4 linked regions of the Arabidopsis thaliana genome follow. The protein of the gene in region 2 interacts with the protein of the main gene of each other region in a pairwise test. Each region holds a gene or a part of one and is shown on either strand. Other genes may lie near its edges. The genes, in order: UBC10, MUB4, UBC28 and UBC9.

Region 1 (4,466 bases), on a different chromosome or scaffold from region 2:
AAACATGGAACACTGATTTTTATTTTATTTCTTTCAGTCGACACCAATTGTTTGAATTTTGCGTTTGAATGTCTAGAGTTCTTAGCCTACAAGTTTCATGGATATCTAAATCAAACCTATAGTCCCTATGATTTCTTATTTTGTTAAACTTAAAGCAGATGTTTAATTTGGTCTTTTGCTCTTAACTAGAGTAAGTTTTGCCTGTTGGTTATCATTTCTAAGTTCAAACTGATACTCTTCTAATACACTGATCCGTGGGATAATGATAAATTTTGAAAAAAAGATAGTAACATACTGTATTTTCTTATAGAGAAGAGAAATTCAAAAATATTCTAATAGCACAACACTATTAAATGTATTTTTCTCTTACCTGTGGACTTGTAAAGATAATTTGTTAGGGGTGATACTTTAAGCTCGGACGAGCGATGGATCTTTGGTCCATCGAAGCCCATCTACATAACTTGAGTTCAGTCCATACCCATTCATCTATAGATTATCTGTAGTATTAGATTCTATACCACTCTTTTTTTTTTTTCTGTTGATTCTATACCACTCACATTCCACATAATCAGGCTATTTATTATTTTATTAAATACTGTATTGTCAAATAATTTGACTTCACCAAATAACATGTTTTCGTCAAACTCATGATATGATGGATGATACGAATAAGAAAACTGTTATAACTTATAAACAAAATAGGGTGTTTAGTGGTTTTGTACTAGTGAATCATTGCTGAGTTACTACTTGAGTTCAAACATGCATAATACATGTCGTTTAATGGATATAGGATTGTTTGTGATATTATTGCATACTTAAAATGTTTGTTGCATCACGTATGTAGTCCACAATCCACAGGCGCACCTTGCAAGGTACAAAACTCATTTTCTACAACATACGTGCTACAACAGAACGCATTGTCACCATGACGGGCATTGGCCACAACGATTAACTCAGAGTAAATTTGAAGACCAGTTGGATAAGTTTGAAGACCAGTTGGATAAGTTTGAAGACTAGTTTGATAAATTTGAACAACTCGTAGCAACTCATCACACAACGAAAACATCAAATCATAATTTCACCACAAGAAGAAACAACAGAAGATGATCAGATTCTAGTTTTCACAAAGATGATGTTTTTTTTTGTTTCGTTTAAAACAAGACCCACTTCATTTGGTCCTGTCTTCAGAAAGTTAAAAGGACACAAAGAGATGTCTATCGAATCATACATAGAAATTAAGGCAGATTTTTTTCTTCATAAAGAGATAATTTAGTAGGTGGGATTTTCCATTTAGCCCATGGCATACTTCTGAGTCCAGCTTCGTGCAGTGGACTCGTACTTGTTCTTGTCAGTCTTGTACATGTGAGCTATCTCGGGCACCAAAGGATCATCCGGGTTTGGATCGGTTAACAAAGAACAGATCGATAGCAGCACCTGTTAATTGCAAAGCAGTTGTTAGAACTGATCGATAACAAACAACAATTTTTCATCCTCAATGAGTCTAATAAGCTTAATGTTTCAGAGACAACCGAAATGAGTCAAAGTTTAATGAAGACAGCTCAATCTTATCACTTCAACTAGGGATTAAGGAGCAAAAGCATGTTTGATAAGAGTAGATTACTGCCTCTGAAGCAGTTTTAATAGAGAGTATTTGTTTTAAGGTGGGTTTCTATTGTTAACAAAAGAATAAGAGAAACCGAACCTTGGAAATGGTGAGCGCAGGACTCCACTGCTCCTTCAAGATGTCGAGGCAAATGCTACCGTTGCTGTTAATGTTGGGATGGAACACCTTGGTCCTAAAGGCCACCTAGATATCATCACACACACCATAATGAAGAACAATGAGATAATGAAGCAACCATAAAGAACATACGAGCTTTGGCAAAACATACTTGATAACAATTCTCAAAATATTGGAATCACCTTAGGAGGCTTGAATGGGTAATCCGGAGGGAAATGGATGGTTACAAGGAAAACACCTCCAGCATAAGGACTCTCTGAAGGACCCATTATCGTTGCCTGCCAGTGAAACATGTCTTCAGCAACAGGACCTGTACACAGAAAGATAAACTCAATCTCACACCACATAAGCACAAGGAAACAAAGAGACAGTTTTTTCTTCACAAGTATAACCAGACCCCAGAAACTAAGACAATGAAACGAGTTTTAAGCCTTTATAAGATCTTCACCAGAGAAATCAGAAACGAGATAAACCAAATTTAGTTCTAGCCAGATCTTAAAAAGTAAAACGAGTACTTAGCTCGAGATCGGTACCAAACAACACATAAACACACAAATCCAAACAAATCCAAGCATAAGCGAACAAAAAAACCGGATCTATCAACACCAGCTCAGGGAAACAAAACTTTTTAAGATGAAATCTCAAAATCCAAACACGAAACAAGTACCTGCGCTACATGATGTAGGTGGATCCTTCTGGAGATCCTTCAATTCCTTCAAGATCCGCTTCGACGCCATATCCAAAAACCTAAAAATCAAAAATCAAACAAAGATTCTAAACGAATCAGAGAAGCTATAAATCCGTGAGAAATATAAGTAATAGATCCAAAAGCTACAGAGACAATACCTTTGATTTTTCGCGTAATCGGATTGGCGAGGTTTTCGCCTTTTTCTTCTCGTATTAGAGAGAAGAAGAACCAAGACTTAGGGGAAAGGAAGAAAATAGAGATGGTGGTGGACGAAAGACGAAGAATACGAATTATTCTCTGTGCTCACGTCTACAATAAATACCGTGTGGATTATTTACTTTCTTTGACTAGTGGACTCTACTTTTAACCCTCTTATTATTCGGTGGACCTTGAAACGACGCGGCGCTTCTTAATTAAAACATCAAGTTGCATTGAAACGACATCGTCTTAAAAAGTCATCTAATCTAACGGTTGATATCCTATCCTTAAATCAAGTGGTATTGAAATCTAACGGCTGCGAGTTTATTATAAATTTCAAATCAAGTGGCATCGAAACGCGTTGCGATGAAGTCATATAATCTAACGGCTGAGATTTGTATCTTTTAATCGATCGAATCATTTGAAGCCACGTCTTCTCTCTCACTTTGGAGATTTTTCTAACGCAGAATCTGAGAATAAGCTAACCGATTCCGATTTCGAGTTCGTCGCCGGGAGGAATGAACCGGTTGAAGGAGCAAAAGGGGCCGAAGTTCGACGGCGAAGAATCACCTCCACCTGATTTTGATGAAGATCGAAGTGTGGGTGAGGTAGACGGAGGAGATCACACGCCATTCGCTGGAGGTAAAGTCAGAAGGAAAGCGTCTCGCTATAGAGAGCATCGTGGTGACTATCTTCACGTTTCTTCTCGTCCTGGATTGATGCGAATTCTGGAGAAACAAGGTTAGGTTTCTCCAAACTTTTGGTTTTTATTTGATGAATTTGAGATTGAGAGGCAATTTGTGAATCGAAGAACTTGGAGGAATAGTTGAATCAGCTGTAGAATTGTGGCATCGATTTATAGTTTCTTATGTGGTTGTTTGGATTGCTAATGATTGGATTCACCTTGAATTGCATGTGTTTGATGTTGAGAAGGTGATTCATTGTTGTTATAGGTGATACATCGATTCTTTTTGCTGATAAAGTTTTGAAGTTCACCGGCTCGGGGAAGATGAAACGGCGTATTTTTATCCTCACTGATTTTGCGATCTATCTAATTGATCCCGAGACTGAAGCTATGACCAGGAGAATTGCTTTGTCATCAGTAGAGAAGATGTGTTTAAGCAAATTGAGTGATAACTTCTTCGCTATCATTATTCCCACGGAATATGATCTCTTCATGGCCAGCACTAGGAAGACTGAGCTTGTTCAGGTCATGGTAGATGTCACTAAAAGTGCTTCTGACTATGAACTTGAAGTGCTTCTCTCTAACAGGTAACTATGACCGCAATTTTTGGTTTTTGATGTCTCCTCTTTGAATGCTAATACCATGCACATGAGAATTGTTTATTTTCATCTCATTTCCTGATATTGACACTACAGGTATTGTGTTACTGAGAACTGATGTGGGTCTTTTTAGTCTCTGAAACTTAGTGAGCTCTGTTTCTTAAGTGACTTGGCTATTAGTTAGTGGTGAGACCAGAGGATCCACTTGTACCTATTAATCATATCTATATTTATGGAAGAAGATAAAGAATTAACACTTTTAGGAGATAACTACTGAAATTAGTACGTTGAGATACAAATGGTTACAACTATATTTTAAATACTGTTAGATGACATATTCTAGTTTTGATTGAAACTGTTCTCAAATGGCAATCACGATAATAGTCCGTAGAAACATTTTGTATATCTCCCATATCGTAAAACTCAGCTATTGGTTTATATGTGCAGTTTGTGTTTTATACTGATAATGGTTTCTCCTTGTGTTCATTCCAGATTTGAGTACAATGCATCTGCCTCATTAGTAAAGGAAGTTTCTTTTGAGGAATCTGAAGGTTT
Region 2 (4,878 bases):
GTGTAAAGAAACGTTAAGAAACAGAGTTTTTGCAGGGAATTAATTAAAGAGATCTTTTTGTTCTGAGTTACTACCGGACATGAAGTAACTGTGTTTAGAGAAACTGTTTTTGGAGCAAACATCGCAGTAAACAAAACCCATTATAGTGATTTCTGCATCTGGTTTTGGTTTGGGTGATGAATGCTTTGAAGATAGAGAGTTTACGAGCAGAAATTGCAGAAGTATAAAAAGAAACATTGTCAGTGATTTCTTCGTCATCTTAAGCACAACAAGTTTCAAGTTTGGTTTATTTGATATTTATGTAAGAATTGGAGAATATGTGTGTGAAGAAAGAAGAAATATAGGGAACTAGTTTTCAGACAAGAATAGAACTCTCTTGAAAGAGCTTCGTGGTTCCTTTCTATATATAGAGAGAGTTATACAAACGTGTCTTTTAAAAATAGGCTTGGATACGAAACGGATATTTTTACTATTCATTTTGTTTTTCATAGTTACAATATTCGAATCGGATTAAAGTAAATACCATATCGAAGAGAAAGTGATGGGAGTACAAAGAAAGGTGCATTTGGAGTGAAGATTATAAATGAGAGCCAGAGGAGAGGAATAGAATTAAAGGCGAAACAAGACAAGATAGTGGAGAGACACTAAGTGAAAGTGAAGGTTATAAATGAGAGAATTAAGTGGGAGACAGTGATAAGTTAGGTGAAAGGACATTTATTGAGATCTCATGCTCTCTGTTTCTTTTGGAGGTTTGTATCTACCTACATCCCCAAAACATTGGCTTTGTGGAAGTGGAAAATGATGAGAAAGGTATGGACCATATAGTAACATATCAAAGTGTTTGCCACTCAAGAACCAAACTGCAAACGTTTAGTACTCGTTTTCACTGTAGGTAATGGACTGGATAAAGATGTTTGGATACAGTTTTGGGCGGATCCTGATAGAGAAAAAAACCAGGTCTAAAATGTACTAAAGATTGACAAAACCATACAAGATATGTTACAGAGATACTTGAATTAGTTCGCGGTAACAAAACTCTTATCTTTATAAAGGATGCTCCAAACAAGAGTTTTTCCATCACAGCTCAAGAGAAACAACTCTAATAGACTAGCTTTATAACGCCATAGATGAAGGTTTCTTTGAACTTGTGAAGAAAATGTCGAATATGAAGCGGTAGTTTATGTTTATATGGTCTTTTAGCAAATACCACAGAGAATCAAAACTTAACTCTTTCAGATTTTTTGACTTGGGACTTGTTGTTGTTCTCACATTATGGTACATGAGCAAAAGCTTCTCTGTGGGGCTTCTTCCTTTTCGATTTTTTTCTCTGTAAGAGAAAGAAAAAACAAGATATTAGGCTAAAGAATTCATTCCACAAACAAGATTTACGGAGATAAGAAAGAACAAGACCTGGTCTTGCTTTTGTTGGAGACAGTTGCACGACAACATGCATTGTAATGACGGATTTAGGGAGATCATCAAATGGAGCTTTACACTGTGCAACAGTTTTACCATTCTCCAAAATCTTACCAGCATTTATCAACTTGATGTCACTAGCTGATTTTGGAACAATCTTCTTGTCTACACACATTCAAAACCCCCAAATTCGATTAGTCAATAAGATACAATAGGAAACAAAATGAGACAAATTCAATTTTTTGTTGAATGCACAAGACTGAAGAGTAAGATCAAGAAATTCTACTAAAAAGAACCAGAACAGTATTCGTCCCTATAGTCTCTAAAGACATGATTTGTAGTATAAGACAAGTGATTAGTAATACAATCAGACCAATTCAAAAGCCTATACCACAAGTGGAGAAACTGTTAAAACATAGATCACAAGATCGAGTAACCTTTTAAAAGATCAATAGTTTAACTTCCTTCTTCTGTTCCTACTTTAAGACAAATGATTAGTAAGTCAATCAGATCCTATGACTTATGTCTGAACTTTGTCTATCAAGCCACAAGTGAAGAAACTGAAGAAAAAAAAAAATGGCTGAAGCAAACGTTCTAAAGCCAAATCTAAAGCATTAAAGAGCACTTCTATCGCATTTTTACTTCTTTTTCACGGATTAGCCGAAAAACAAACCAAAAGATTGTGCTCGGTGCTAACCTTTAGGCCATTCAGAGACAATTCTCTCCTTAAGCATTGACACTGTGGCGGTTGGAGAGTACTGAAACGGGCCAACATCTGAACCGTCATATAACCGGAATTTCAGTTCTACCAAATCTTCCTCCGGCATTTGATTATCTCTTTCTCCCAATACAAAACTCTCACAAGAAAGATTTCACCAGAAAGAATCCACCCAAATGAGACCTATAATAATAAGAGGACAGAGAGATTCTCAAATTCAAAGCATCAATGAAATTGTCGAAGCAAAGAACAAAAATATTTAGAGAAGACTAGTAATAAGAGCACAGTCAAACTTAAAGGAATCAATTAGGAAATTTTCAGTTACTGTCCAAATCAAGAACTTGGACCAAAGGAACAAGAAGAACAATAAGCAAAAGAAAAATAAAAACTTGGAACTCATCTAAGCAACCTAAGCTCCTAAACCGTCAGATAAAGTTACCACAACACACAAATCTTACCCGGACTAGAGACACTCAATCCAAATGTCCAAGTTTGCTAGGTTTTGAGTCTTGGGAATGAAGAGAATCAAGAAAGTAGGAGAGAAACCCTTAAAAGGGTAAATGACCTAATCTCAAAGTGAAGCTGGTAAAATCCAGCTAAGAGATTGCTGCTATGTGATTCTATCAAAGTTTCTGATATGTCTTTCGTCAGGATTGCCGCGTTACAGGGAATCCCTGACGAGTAAGGAAATAAGATAAAAAGACAAGAAAATTGTGGAAAAGTATGTTTCTTTATTAGTCAAAAGCAAAGCCTTGTCGGCGTTTTGACCAGAAGACTTTAAAAGACGAGCAACAAATCACTTTGGTCCAAATCTGACTTCCATGTAAATTTCAAAGAGAGGAACAAGAAAATTTGAAAATCTATAGAATCTTCCAACAATAGTAAAATCTCAGAGCAAAACAAAGGATTTTTATGATATGTTTACAGAGTTGAAACCTTGGATTAGACGCACAATTAGAAAGCATACAAAGCACATTTTAAGAACATAAAATCCTAATTATCAAAAGCCCATTGAAACTATATTTAACAAAAAAAAACCAAAAAAAAAAGTGAACTTTTTGCTATATGAACCCCTACGAACAGATTTACACTACTGGCGAGTGACAGGTGTAATAGGCACAGATGAGTTAATGCCATAGAAACCATCTTGTCCCTGAAACTTCTGGTATGAATTCTCCGATGGAGCAGAGGTTGTTGAAAGTTGAGTGAGCCCAGGTACCCAAGGACCTTGTTCTTGTTGTTGTTGCTGAGTGGTTGCAGTAGAGGTTGCTATGGTGTAGTTGAATGGTGTGTGGTTTACTGGCCCGGGAGGCTGTAACGGCTGCAAAAACTGAGGTTGAAGCTGGAATGGTGGTGGTGGTGGAAGCGGTTGTGGGGGTGTGGAGGATGATGTTGTTGCAGTGTTCTGATGGTGCGGTGAGAGATACGACTGGTCATGATTTTGAAGCTTAGGTCTTTTCTCTGGTGGGAAATCGACGGATGATAGAGTTTCTGTTACAGCAGGTGGGTTGTTGTTTCCGATGATGCCTTCGGAGGCTAAGGAGGAGAGAACATAGGAGAGCATCTCGGCTGAGGAAGTTGAAGCAGTTAGCTTAGCTACCACTGCAGCAGCAGCAGTTTTTCTTGGGTCTTCCAGCGATTGAGTTGGGTTTGAGGCAAACATAACTGGTGCAGATTGTTCCACATCGCTGTGTGTGAAGCTTTGTGGTGCTGCTGCAGTGGATGAAACTTTGATAACTTCTTTTGACTCTTCTTCTTCTGTAGCAGGAGGCTGTGAACTACCACCATGGTCTAGAAGCTGTCTGCAGAGATCACCAGTTCGGTCTGATTGAAACCGAGCAATCTGAAATCGTAGCACAAATGAAATCAATTCAACTAAATAGCATAAAGACAAGGCAACATTCTGTTTGGAAAGGCAACCAAGAACCCTAATTAGATTTGGGTCTATCTTCCTTGAACAAATTCACTAAACAAGCTTGAAGCTAGACCAGCATGTCTCGGAAAGTACTATTGAGAACGTTATGATGTATTGTGTAAATTGAAATGTATAAAATGTCTGAGGAACAAATATCACATTTGTTGGTAAGTATTCAAACCTGAAGGTGGTTACGGACTTGCTCCAGCTTGAGTTCCTGGACACAAAAACAAAAACAAGGTGAGGTTTCTGGCCGGTGCAATGAAAGATGTTGTTTTGAAAGAAAATGTATAAATGTAAACCTGTTCTTGTAAAGCTTCTCTCAAATGTGAGATAAGACTTGTTCTGGATGTCTCCATTGCCCCTAGCTGTTCGATGCAGTCTCTCAATATGACATGTTGTCCCTGCAACTCCTTCACCACCGCTGGCCCAGGGGCGTGTCCTATTTAAAGCAATGCTCAAGAAGTAAGATAGTGAAAACAACTTCAAATGGATGCTTGAACAAGAATTGGATCTTCTCTATCCTACAAGTAAAGAAGTGTAATATATCTACAAGCAGTTAATATAAAGACCAGTCCCAGTAATCAGAAATGTAGTGACAAAAATTAGGGATCCAAAATTAACCAAAATGTGTAGCACTGGTTATTCTCGTTGCGGATTGGGGGTAAGTGCTCTTATCATTAAATGATTTGACACAAAGATATGCTGAATATTCCTATCAAATGGTAAGAGCCACCATGTTTAAAAGATGATTTTGGCAAAAACTATTTGGAAAAATGAGAGAGGAGCATCATGGAAGTAAGAATTGGAAGCGTGGTAGTGGTTTAAG
Region 3 (4,310 bases), on a different chromosome or scaffold from region 2:
AATAACTAAATATAGCCTAAATGATTGGCTAAATCACTACATGAATTATTTTCAGTATTTAGAATATTTCATTGGTTAATAATAATACACCATGATTTACAGATTTTACATTCAAATCATCATAAATTAAATGAAAATTCAGATTGAATGAAAAGTTGGATGATCTAGCTAACCAATAAATCTACAGTTTATTGTTTCGTAATAATATGCCTTTTGATTTCGCTTTCCATTTCATAATGAGGTAACTTAATTCAATGGTAGATAAAGTGTACCTTTATTCTTTGATTTGAGGTATTTTTAAATTAATGCACATATGGAATCATTGATCCCTTACAAGCAAGGGAAATGATAAAGGTGGAGAAAATTTTCTGTAGGGTAAATTTATCACTTTGCATTTCATACAAGGGTAAATTTCGAATTAATATGTTAATCAACATCTTCAAAATCATGCAATTTTTATTTTATTTTTCTGCAAAAATGGTTTTATTTCAATATTTTCTCAAACACGGAATTTTGAAAATTTGGTAGCAAATGTCAAATGTTCCCATTTAATCATCGTCATACTTTGTTAGGTAAAAGCTCAAAGTTTCCAGCTTTACATAAATAATTTTTCTTATAATTTTTTGGAAAAAGCATAGAAACAAAGATAGGGAACATATGGATAATAAAGAGGTGAAGTAATGTTTTTGTTTGAGATTAAAGAGGTTTCAAACAAAGAGATGATAAAACATAGGAATCTAACTTATTTCATGGAAGATCCCTATGTGAAGAAGTCCTCTCTCTTTCTCTCTCTCTCTCTATTAAAACCGAGTCTGTGAGGGATCAAAGGACACAAACTTTCATCCCATTGCATATTTCTGAGTCCAGCTTCTCGCAGTAGACTCATACTTTGCTCTATCGGTTTTGTACATGTGAGCAATCTCTGGAACCAATGGATCATCTGGGTTTGGGTCCGTTAACAATGAACATATCGAAAGCAAAACCTATAAATTCACAAGAGATTTGATTAAAATAAGAGGAGATTCATTATATATCATCCACTGCTATTGGTTAAAGAGTGCTTTTTCACCTTCGATATGGTGAGTGCAGGACTCCATTGTTCTTTCAAAATGTCAAGGCAAATGCTTCCATTGCTGTTGACATTAGGGTGGAACACTTTTGTCCTGAATGCAACCTGCAAGAAAAAGAGCATTTTGAATTCCAGTTCATGATTTCAGTTTGGTAACAATGAATAATTTACCTTTGGTGGTTTGAAAGGATAATCCGGAGGGAAGTGAATGGTTACGAGAAAGACACCGCCTGAATAAGGACTATCAGATGGACCCATTATTGTAGCTTGCCAATGAAACATGTCTTCAGCAACTGGGCCTTGAAGATTTCACAATTGTTCATAGAAGGAAAAAATAGAAAGATTAGTCTTTTAAACATGATGATCTATGGCATTTACTGAAATACACACAACAAAACATGTGCCATAGCAATGTCCTGAGACTTCTCTAGCAGAAGAATGCATGAACAGTTTGAGAATCTCCGACAACAATCCTCTAACTCTATTAAGACCAACAATTTCGACGCATTATCCACTTATCATATATTTTAATAAACAAAACAAACATGTATAAACCTGAATGCAATAGATAACTAAGAAAGACTATCAGTGCGAGGTATCAAGTCTGTAAGATCCGTTATGGATACTTGGATAAACAAGGCAGCATACAACACCAAAAGCTTAATTCTAAGAAAATTCACAACTTTCAATAGCTATTTCCTAGACTATGATCATAAGATAACTGCAACGACCAATCTCAACTTTGTTCTAAGAAAAATCTCAACTTCCAACTGTTATCTTATTAATTATGATCAATAGTATCCAGGATGGGTAAATGGATCCCAATTTTTAACAGCTATCTTCTAGACTATGATTATTAGAAAGCTGTAATTTTCAATCAAGGATCAGTACAGCCATAAATTTGTTCTGTTCTAAGAAAAATCTCAACTTTCAATTGGTATCTTCTAAACTAAGATCATAACTTAGCGGCAATTACCACCTCAAGATCTCTAGATAACTTCGTTATAAAATTACGAAGACTAAAAAAGATTTCATTTTTTTGTTTGCTTAAAGATAAGATTATAAGATCTAACAACAAAGCTCAAAAATAGATCAGACACGATTTACGAGAGGAGAGGTAAAGACTAACCAGCACTGCAGGAAGTTGGAGGATCCTTCTGGAGATCCTTGAGCTCTTTCAAGATCCTTTTCGAAGCCATTTCTCAACCAAAAAAAAACTCCTAGATCCAAAAAACCAAACCCTAGATAGATTCAGCAACGCAACAAACAAAGGAAAAGCAAAGGTTGAAAATTTCCGATAAAGGATTGAGCTTTTTTACCTCAAGACAGATCCTCCAAACTCGGTTTTGACGATTCACTTCCTGCAGATGATTTTTGAGAAAGAGACAGAGAGAGCCTTTGAGACCTAACGAATAAACAAAGAGAGAGAAATTTTATTTATGTATGCTTCAAATATAAATAATGACAGCTATTTTCCAGCGAGCCAGAGAATCATTATTGGATAAACATACTTTTAATAAAAAATAAAGGACCCTCTGAGTTAGACAGAGTGTTTCATAGAGGCTTTAAAAAGGTGCTTAAACCCTTTAGGGTTTTTGTCTTCCAGCTAAATCGACTCTGACACAGAGATAAGCAGAGAGAGAGAGAGAGAGTTCTGAGATCAGAATCAATGGCGGCTAAAAGTACGTTGAAGATCAAAGGCAAAGCAAAACCATCAAAGGGATCATCATCATCTTCGTCCTCCTCTGCATCATCAAAGTACAAGGTCTTCAAGGATTGGACCAACTGGTCATTACAGAAAGCCAAAGTCGCGACTCACTATGGTTTCATCCCTCTGATCATCATCATCGGCATGAACTCAGATCCTAAACCTCATCTTTTTCACCTCCTCTCTCCCGTTTAATCCACAAATTGGATCTTCTTCGTAATGTTCTTCTTAGATGCTTTTACTTTTTTTCCCAAATTTGTTCTGTTTTCTTCGTTTTATGAAATGGATTTATATTTGTTTCTGATTCTATAATTCAAAGTCTCATTCTTTTTTGCATGATTCAAATTCAATAAAATCAAATGATCTATGAAGAAACAAAGAATTTGCTTTAATGGTTACTACTACTAGTTTGTGTTGTCTCACTCTGCATCAACTGATCGAATATCTTCAATCAATTTCAAAACTTGAGCTATATGAGGTCTTTCTTGTTGCTTCAGAGCAACACAAGCCAATCCTATTTGCAACATCTCAACCATCTCCTCCTCGAAACCACCTGATTGACTCAATATCTCCATATCAAACACTTCTCCAGTCCACTCTTTAGCCACCACAGATCTTATCCAGCTAGCTAAGTCCATGTTCTCACCTCCTGTTGGTACTAATTCTGCTTGACTCACTGGTGATTTCCCTGTCAAGAGCTCCAGTAATACCACACCGAAGCTGTATACATCCGAAAACTGTGTGCTTCTTCTTGTGTCTGTTATTTCAGGTGCATGGTAGCCAGAAGTAAGGCAAGTGGTTTGAGGAAGTGATCTCATGATTGTCGTCAAGCCAACATCGCCTATGCAGCCATAGCATTGTGAGTCTAAGAAGATGTTTGAGGATTTGATGTTTCCATGTATGAACTTCCCTTCGTGGATTTTAGCTAGCCCTCTCGCTGCACCGGTTGCTATTCGCAGTCTAGCATCCCAATCTAACGGTACTCGATGATACCTTCCTCTGTTTCCTGCAAAGAAAATGGAACCTTGTAGTTTCGATTTATCATCAGAATGAGAGCAATGAAAATAACTAACCGTGCAGTATTTCGAAGAGGCTTCCATGATTGTAATAGCTATAAACCGCGAGCTTATCGTCTTTGGAGTAGTAGTAAGCCTTTAGCTCAGCTACATTTTCATGTCTGATCATACCAATGATCTCCATTTGTTGCTCAAACTCTCGTCTTCCAACGACAACTTCCTTCAATCGTTTTACAACGACCGTGCTCATGTCCTCCATTGTTACCTTATAGGTTGTACCAAAAGCACCCTTCCCCAAAACTTCTGCAGATGAGCTTAGCAAATCATCTAAATCAAATAAGTGGTTTCTTCCACCAAAGAAGATGATCTTCCCGCCTTCTTCAGTGTTATCATCTCTAGATGTCCAGTTTCCTGGAGGAGAAGACGAGTCTCTCTTTCGCAACTTCCCGGAGATTCTAGTCTTCCCGAAACAAGTGATCATTATGAATGATAATCCGGAAACACACAAAACGCAAGC
Region 4 (4,151 bases), on a different chromosome or scaffold from region 2:
TCAGTAGTAGTGCTCGAGTAGTGAAAACACACATTTAAAAACTTATTCGAATGGACTTGGAAGCCTCGGTAAACCCAAAACTCAAAATATATAGAAATACAAGTGTTGGAGTTTCGAGAAAGAAAATAAACTTTGATTTGAATCTTAAGATAAAGAGTTTTAAAGATTAACATGAATTGATCAAGCGTCCACTAGCACTTTCATTAAGCAAAATATGCATTCATAACATTTTTTTTTTATAAATCGTCAACAAACTAACGTGAAATTATAAAATCATAACCTTAATCTCAACATAATAAGCCCTGATTACTGCTTTAAACCTCGCCAACCTCATAAGCTCCCAACCTTAACAACAACATGTGTCCATCGAAGAGGAATCTAATTCGTGGGATAAACATTATGTTAAAATATACTATACTCCATCACTGAAACAGAACCTTGAACACAAAAGTGTCATAATAGTTGGGTTATACCATAAAAAAGTAACCGTTTTTTCAAGGTCTTTATACCATAATGTTTAGTAGCACTAATGGCTAAACCCGTTTGAGTATATTATTTGGGGAAAAGGTGATTTTAATAGTTTTACTATTTTTTGTAAATCTTAAATTGGTCAAACTTCAAAGTGATAATTCCTTTGTCCCATTTTATTAAATTGTTCCAGATGGATCACAATCACAATCTTAACTCATGAACAACTTCACTCTTAGGCCCCATACACCATTTACATAAATCATTGCCCACATAATACTAAAATGAAAATGTTACGTATGTAAGTTAATAATGTTTACGAAAACGGAAAGGCTTACGATTGTAGCTAGTTTGGGCTTTGGACAGAATAAAATCCAAAATAATATGAGCCTTGATAAACACAGAGACGCATCGGCATCACGCAATAAAGAAACAGCAGACGGGATGATGATTTACGTTTTACAATTCCATAGAATGGAGATCAAATAATTTCTTACTGATCCTGTCTTCACAAATTTTATAAGACAGACAAGTCTATAAAAGATCATTACATAGAAATAAGAAGAGTTTAATTATTAGGGCTCTTCCTTAAGGACAGTATTTGTGTCAGCCCATGGCATACTTTTGGGTCCAGGTCCGAGCAGTGGACTCGTACTTGTTCTTGTCTGTCTTGTACATGTGAGCTATCTCAGGGACCAAAGGATCATCTGGGTTTGGATCCGTTAACAAAGAACAGATCGATAGCAGCACCTGTTGCACCACACAAAATTGATGTCACCTGGAGAGCAAAGCTGCAAAATTATGGTTCTAATATGATAAAGATGAGGAAGAACAAAAGAAAACCTTGGAAATTGTGAGAGCAGGACTCCACTGCTCCTTCAAGATGTCGAGGCAGATGCTTCCATTGCTGTTAATGTTTGGATGGAACACCTTCGTCCTAAAAGCCACCTACATTTTTTGTAACAACATACATAGAGAGCAATGAAATCAAGAACACAGAGAAAAGAACAATAGATAAACGATGGAAGATATTAGCAACAGAAAAATGATGGCCGAAGTAAAGTTGGAAAAAAAATTCAAAGAAGAAGAAGCAGCTGTAGAGATTTGAATATACCTTAGGAGGCTTAAATGGGTAATCTGGAGGGAAATGGATGGTTACAAGAAAAACTCCTCCAGAATAAGGGCTATCCGATGGACCCATTATAGTGGCCTGCCAATGAAACATGTCTTCCGCAACGGGTCCTGTCAACATTTAACCAAAACTTCAATACCAAACCAGAAAAGCAACAACATGCATATAAGAAGAAGTTGGTAAAAGGGGCAAAATTAGAAGAGAACAACAGAGTTATAATCCTAAGATCTCATCCAAGGAAATCAAAAAATGAAACCAGATCTATCAACGAGCAAACAAGTTTGAACATTGACCTTTATGATTCATTCCTAGAAAAATCACAAACAAGTGTTACCATGAAGTATGCAAATTTCTGTTATTAGCAGCTGAATTACCTAAAAATCAAGGATAATTAGATCTAAGCTAACGAGAGATCAATATCAAACCGTCGCACACATAAAAAACCAGCTCAAAAGAAGATCAAAACCAACGACCCATCATTATCCAGCAAGAGGAACATAATTATTGAATCAAAGTTGATAAATCGACTAAAAGAATAGGTACCTGCGCTACATGAAGTAGGAGGATCCTTCTGCAGATCCTTCAATTCCTTCAAAATCCGTTTCGATGCCATTTCCAAAATCCCACGATCCAAATTCCAATTGAAGACTCTGCAATCGAAAACCAATCCAATGGTCAGATGAATTAAGAAGAAGAAAAACATAACCCAGAAAATTATATATAAAGACGGGAAGAAGATCCAAAATCATAACTCCGAATTCACGTTTTTGGTTTTGGTTCTTCGAATTTAGGAGAAGAAAGGGTGGTGAAACGGAAGAGAAGAAGAAGTTGAAAATGTTGTGTGGTCGCGACCACAATAAATAGGGTGCGGGTAAATTCTGGTTCGTTTGATTAGTGGACTCTGCTGCTTTATTCTTTCAGATTCGTTCGTTTTAAATAATGTCAAACTTTTTTTTGGGTGGGCCTAACTCAGCGTTGTACCTACGGCACATATAAAATAACGCGGTTGTTCGTATCATCATCATGTGGCGCCGATGTTTTCCAATCCCGTCGAAGCGTCGTCGTTTAAGTGGTTTAGTCAAAAGTCGTATGATCCGACGGCTGAGAGTTTTGTAGAACGAATCATTTGACGTAATTTGAATGAATTTACCATGCTTTCAAGATTGACCAGCGGTTGATGAAGGATGTTTTTTTTCAAAAACGTGATGTGTAGGAAATTATTACATTGTTTTTACTGTCATATGTCATATGTGACAAGACGATTCGTTTTGGTGACAAAGTATAAAGATGGAGGATGAATTAACATAACAGTGACATTAAGATATATTCGACAAATTAGATGTTAAGCTAGACATTATTTCCACGAAATATGATCTAACTTGTTAAGACAAATTGTGAAGGTTGCGGTTGGTGTGACTAAGTTTGCCTATAACTCAAATAGTTTTTACTTGAATTGAATCAAACAATACTATAATAACTAAATCTAACGAAAGAATAAGCCAAAGTGATTATAGTTTTTATATTTTTGCTGAAATGAAGAAGTAATTTATCATGATCAGTAAAAAGAATGGTATGCAACTAAAATTTACCAAAATAATTAAGATTTTCGCTAATTTATTATTATTAGCACTGCTATAGTGTTGTACATGAGAAGTTAATTAACAAAGATCATGAATTTTCATCACATTTTTTTTTTTTGTTAATTTGAATTCTGAACCGTGGAACTATCTACATTTACTAAAGGAGGAGATTCTAAATCTATTTGATTATCTTCCGGATCCAAAATCTTGGGACATCTCTCATTATTTCCATAACTTTCTTTTGTGAGATGTTTGAACCATCTCTTCTGCTTCGGTTGTTCTGCACTTATGGCAATGACAACGTCATTGGGGAAGAGATCACGTTGGACAAAAGCATGCATCACCGTCAACCCAAGCACAGCTATCACCGTCAGAGTTGCTGCTCCCGACATCACAACCGATAGTATCTTCGTTGCCACTCCCGTGACTTCGTCTGAATATTTGATCGTCGCACTGGCCACTGCCGTCATTGGAAACGTGTAAGCCCACCAAGCTAGCGAGAATCTGATATTTTTTGAATAATTATGTCAGATAACATGTATGTTATTTGGTTTGGTAAATTAGATCCTTGCAGTTCAAGAAACAGCTTACTTGAATCCCCGGAAAAGGTTAATCCGACAAACCTGAAACAAGAATCACAAGAAGTAAAGCTGTTACATTTCTTGTACCACAAGAAACTCAGCACTAGCTCACTAGAACTCTGTTAATGAAAACAAAAACTACCAGAGAGAAGTACAAGAACAAGGAGATGAAGTATGCTAGACGCGAACCGAGATCGAAAGAGGCAGAGATCTTGGTCCAGGCCATGGAAGCGACGGCTGGTGCAGCCACAAAGAGGAAGAAAACAGGGTGAAGCTCTTTAGGTAAGGTTTCATTCGTGGGAAGTCTCTGATAGAGAGTCACAAATAAAACCAAATAATAAGCCAACCCTATGGCAAAGAAGAATATTGGTCCTTCTTTCAACCCCATGG

Evidence for each region.
Region 1: the proteins of MUB4 (region 2) and UBC10 interact in a two-hybrid assay, tested with the Arabidopsis thaliana proteins (one study listed by BioGRID).
Region 3: the proteins of MUB4 (region 2) and UBC28 interact in a two-hybrid assay, tested with the Arabidopsis thaliana proteins (one study listed by BioGRID).
Region 4: the proteins of MUB4 (region 2) and UBC9 interact in a two-hybrid assay, tested with the Arabidopsis thaliana proteins (one study listed by BioGRID).

What each region holds. Positions count from the first base shown.
Region 1 is NC_003076.8:21,631,512-21,635,977, forward strand, and holds UBC10 (ubiquitin-conjugating enzyme 10), read right to left. Parts: upstream 2,737-4,466; 5' UTR 2,588-2,736; intron 2,516-2,587; exon of another isoform or gene 2,489-2,515; 5' UTR 2,479-2,488; coding exon 2,409-2,478; intron 2,052-2,408; coding exon 1,924-2,051; intron 1,808-1,923; coding exon 1,703-1,807; coding exon of another isoform or gene 1,676-1,702; exon of another isoform or gene 1,435-1,675; coding exon 1,291-1,434; 3' UTR 1,056-1,290; exon of another isoform or gene 937-1,055; intron 536-936; 3' UTR 510-535; downstream 1-509. Other genes in the region: AT5G53310 (myosin heavy chain-like protein), read left to right, coding at 3,146-3,368, 3,581-3,899, 4,404-4,462. UniProt on the Arabidopsis thaliana protein: Accepts the ubiquitin from the E1 complex and catalyzes its covalent attachment to other proteins. Mediates the selective degradation of short-lived and abnormal proteins.
Region 2 is NC_003074.8:9,945,202-9,950,079, forward strand, and holds MUB4 (membrane-anchored ubiquitin-fold protein 4 precursor), read right to left. Parts: upstream 2,884-4,878; 5' UTR 2,593-2,883; intron 2,318-2,592; 5' UTR 2,244-2,317; coding exon 2,114-2,243; intron 1,582-2,113; coding exon 1,411-1,581; intron 1,328-1,410; coding exon 1,266-1,327; 3' UTR 555-1,265; downstream 1-554. Other genes in the region: AT3G26960 (Pollen Ole e 1 allergen and extensin family protein), read right to left, coding at 75-258; AT3G26990 (ENTH/VHS family protein), read right to left, coding at 3,225-3,977, 4,231-4,266, 4,352-4,491. UniProt on the Arabidopsis thaliana protein: May serve as docking site to facilitate the association of other proteins to the plasma membrane.
Region 3 is NC_003070.9:23,831,750-23,836,059, reverse strand, and holds UBC28 (ubiquitin-conjugating enzyme 28), read right to left. Parts: upstream 2,510-4,310; 5' UTR 2,389-2,509; intron 2,311-2,388; 5' UTR 2,269-2,310; coding exon 2,199-2,268; intron 1,584-2,198; coding exon 1,458-1,583; intron 1,369-1,457; coding exon 1,241-1,368; intron 1,175-1,240; coding exon 1,070-1,174; intron 984-1,069; coding exon 840-983; 3' UTR 524-839; downstream 1-523. Other genes in the region: TOM7-2 (translocase of outer membrane 7 kDa subunit 2), read left to right, coding at 2,739-2,972; AT1G64210 (Leucine-rich repeat protein kinase family protein), read right to left, coding at 3,197-3,783, 3,851-4,310. UniProt on the Arabidopsis thaliana protein: Accepts the ubiquitin from the E1 complex and catalyzes its covalent attachment to other proteins.
Region 4 is NC_003075.7:13,914,991-13,919,141, forward strand, and holds UBC9 (ubiquitin conjugating enzyme 9), read right to left. Parts: upstream 2,511-4,151; 5' UTR 2,304-2,510; coding exon 2,144-2,303; intron 1,711-2,143; coding exon 1,583-1,710; intron 1,417-1,582; coding exon 1,312-1,416; intron 1,219-1,311; coding exon 1,075-1,218; 3' UTR 541-1,074; downstream 1-540. Other genes in the region: SLAH2 (SLAC1 homologue 2), read right to left, coding at 3,300-3,684, 3,772-3,803, 3,904-4,151. UniProt on the Arabidopsis thaliana protein: Accepts the ubiquitin-like protein SUMO/SMT3 from the E1 complex and catalyzes its covalent attachment to other proteins. Mediates the selective degradation of short-lived and abnormal proteins.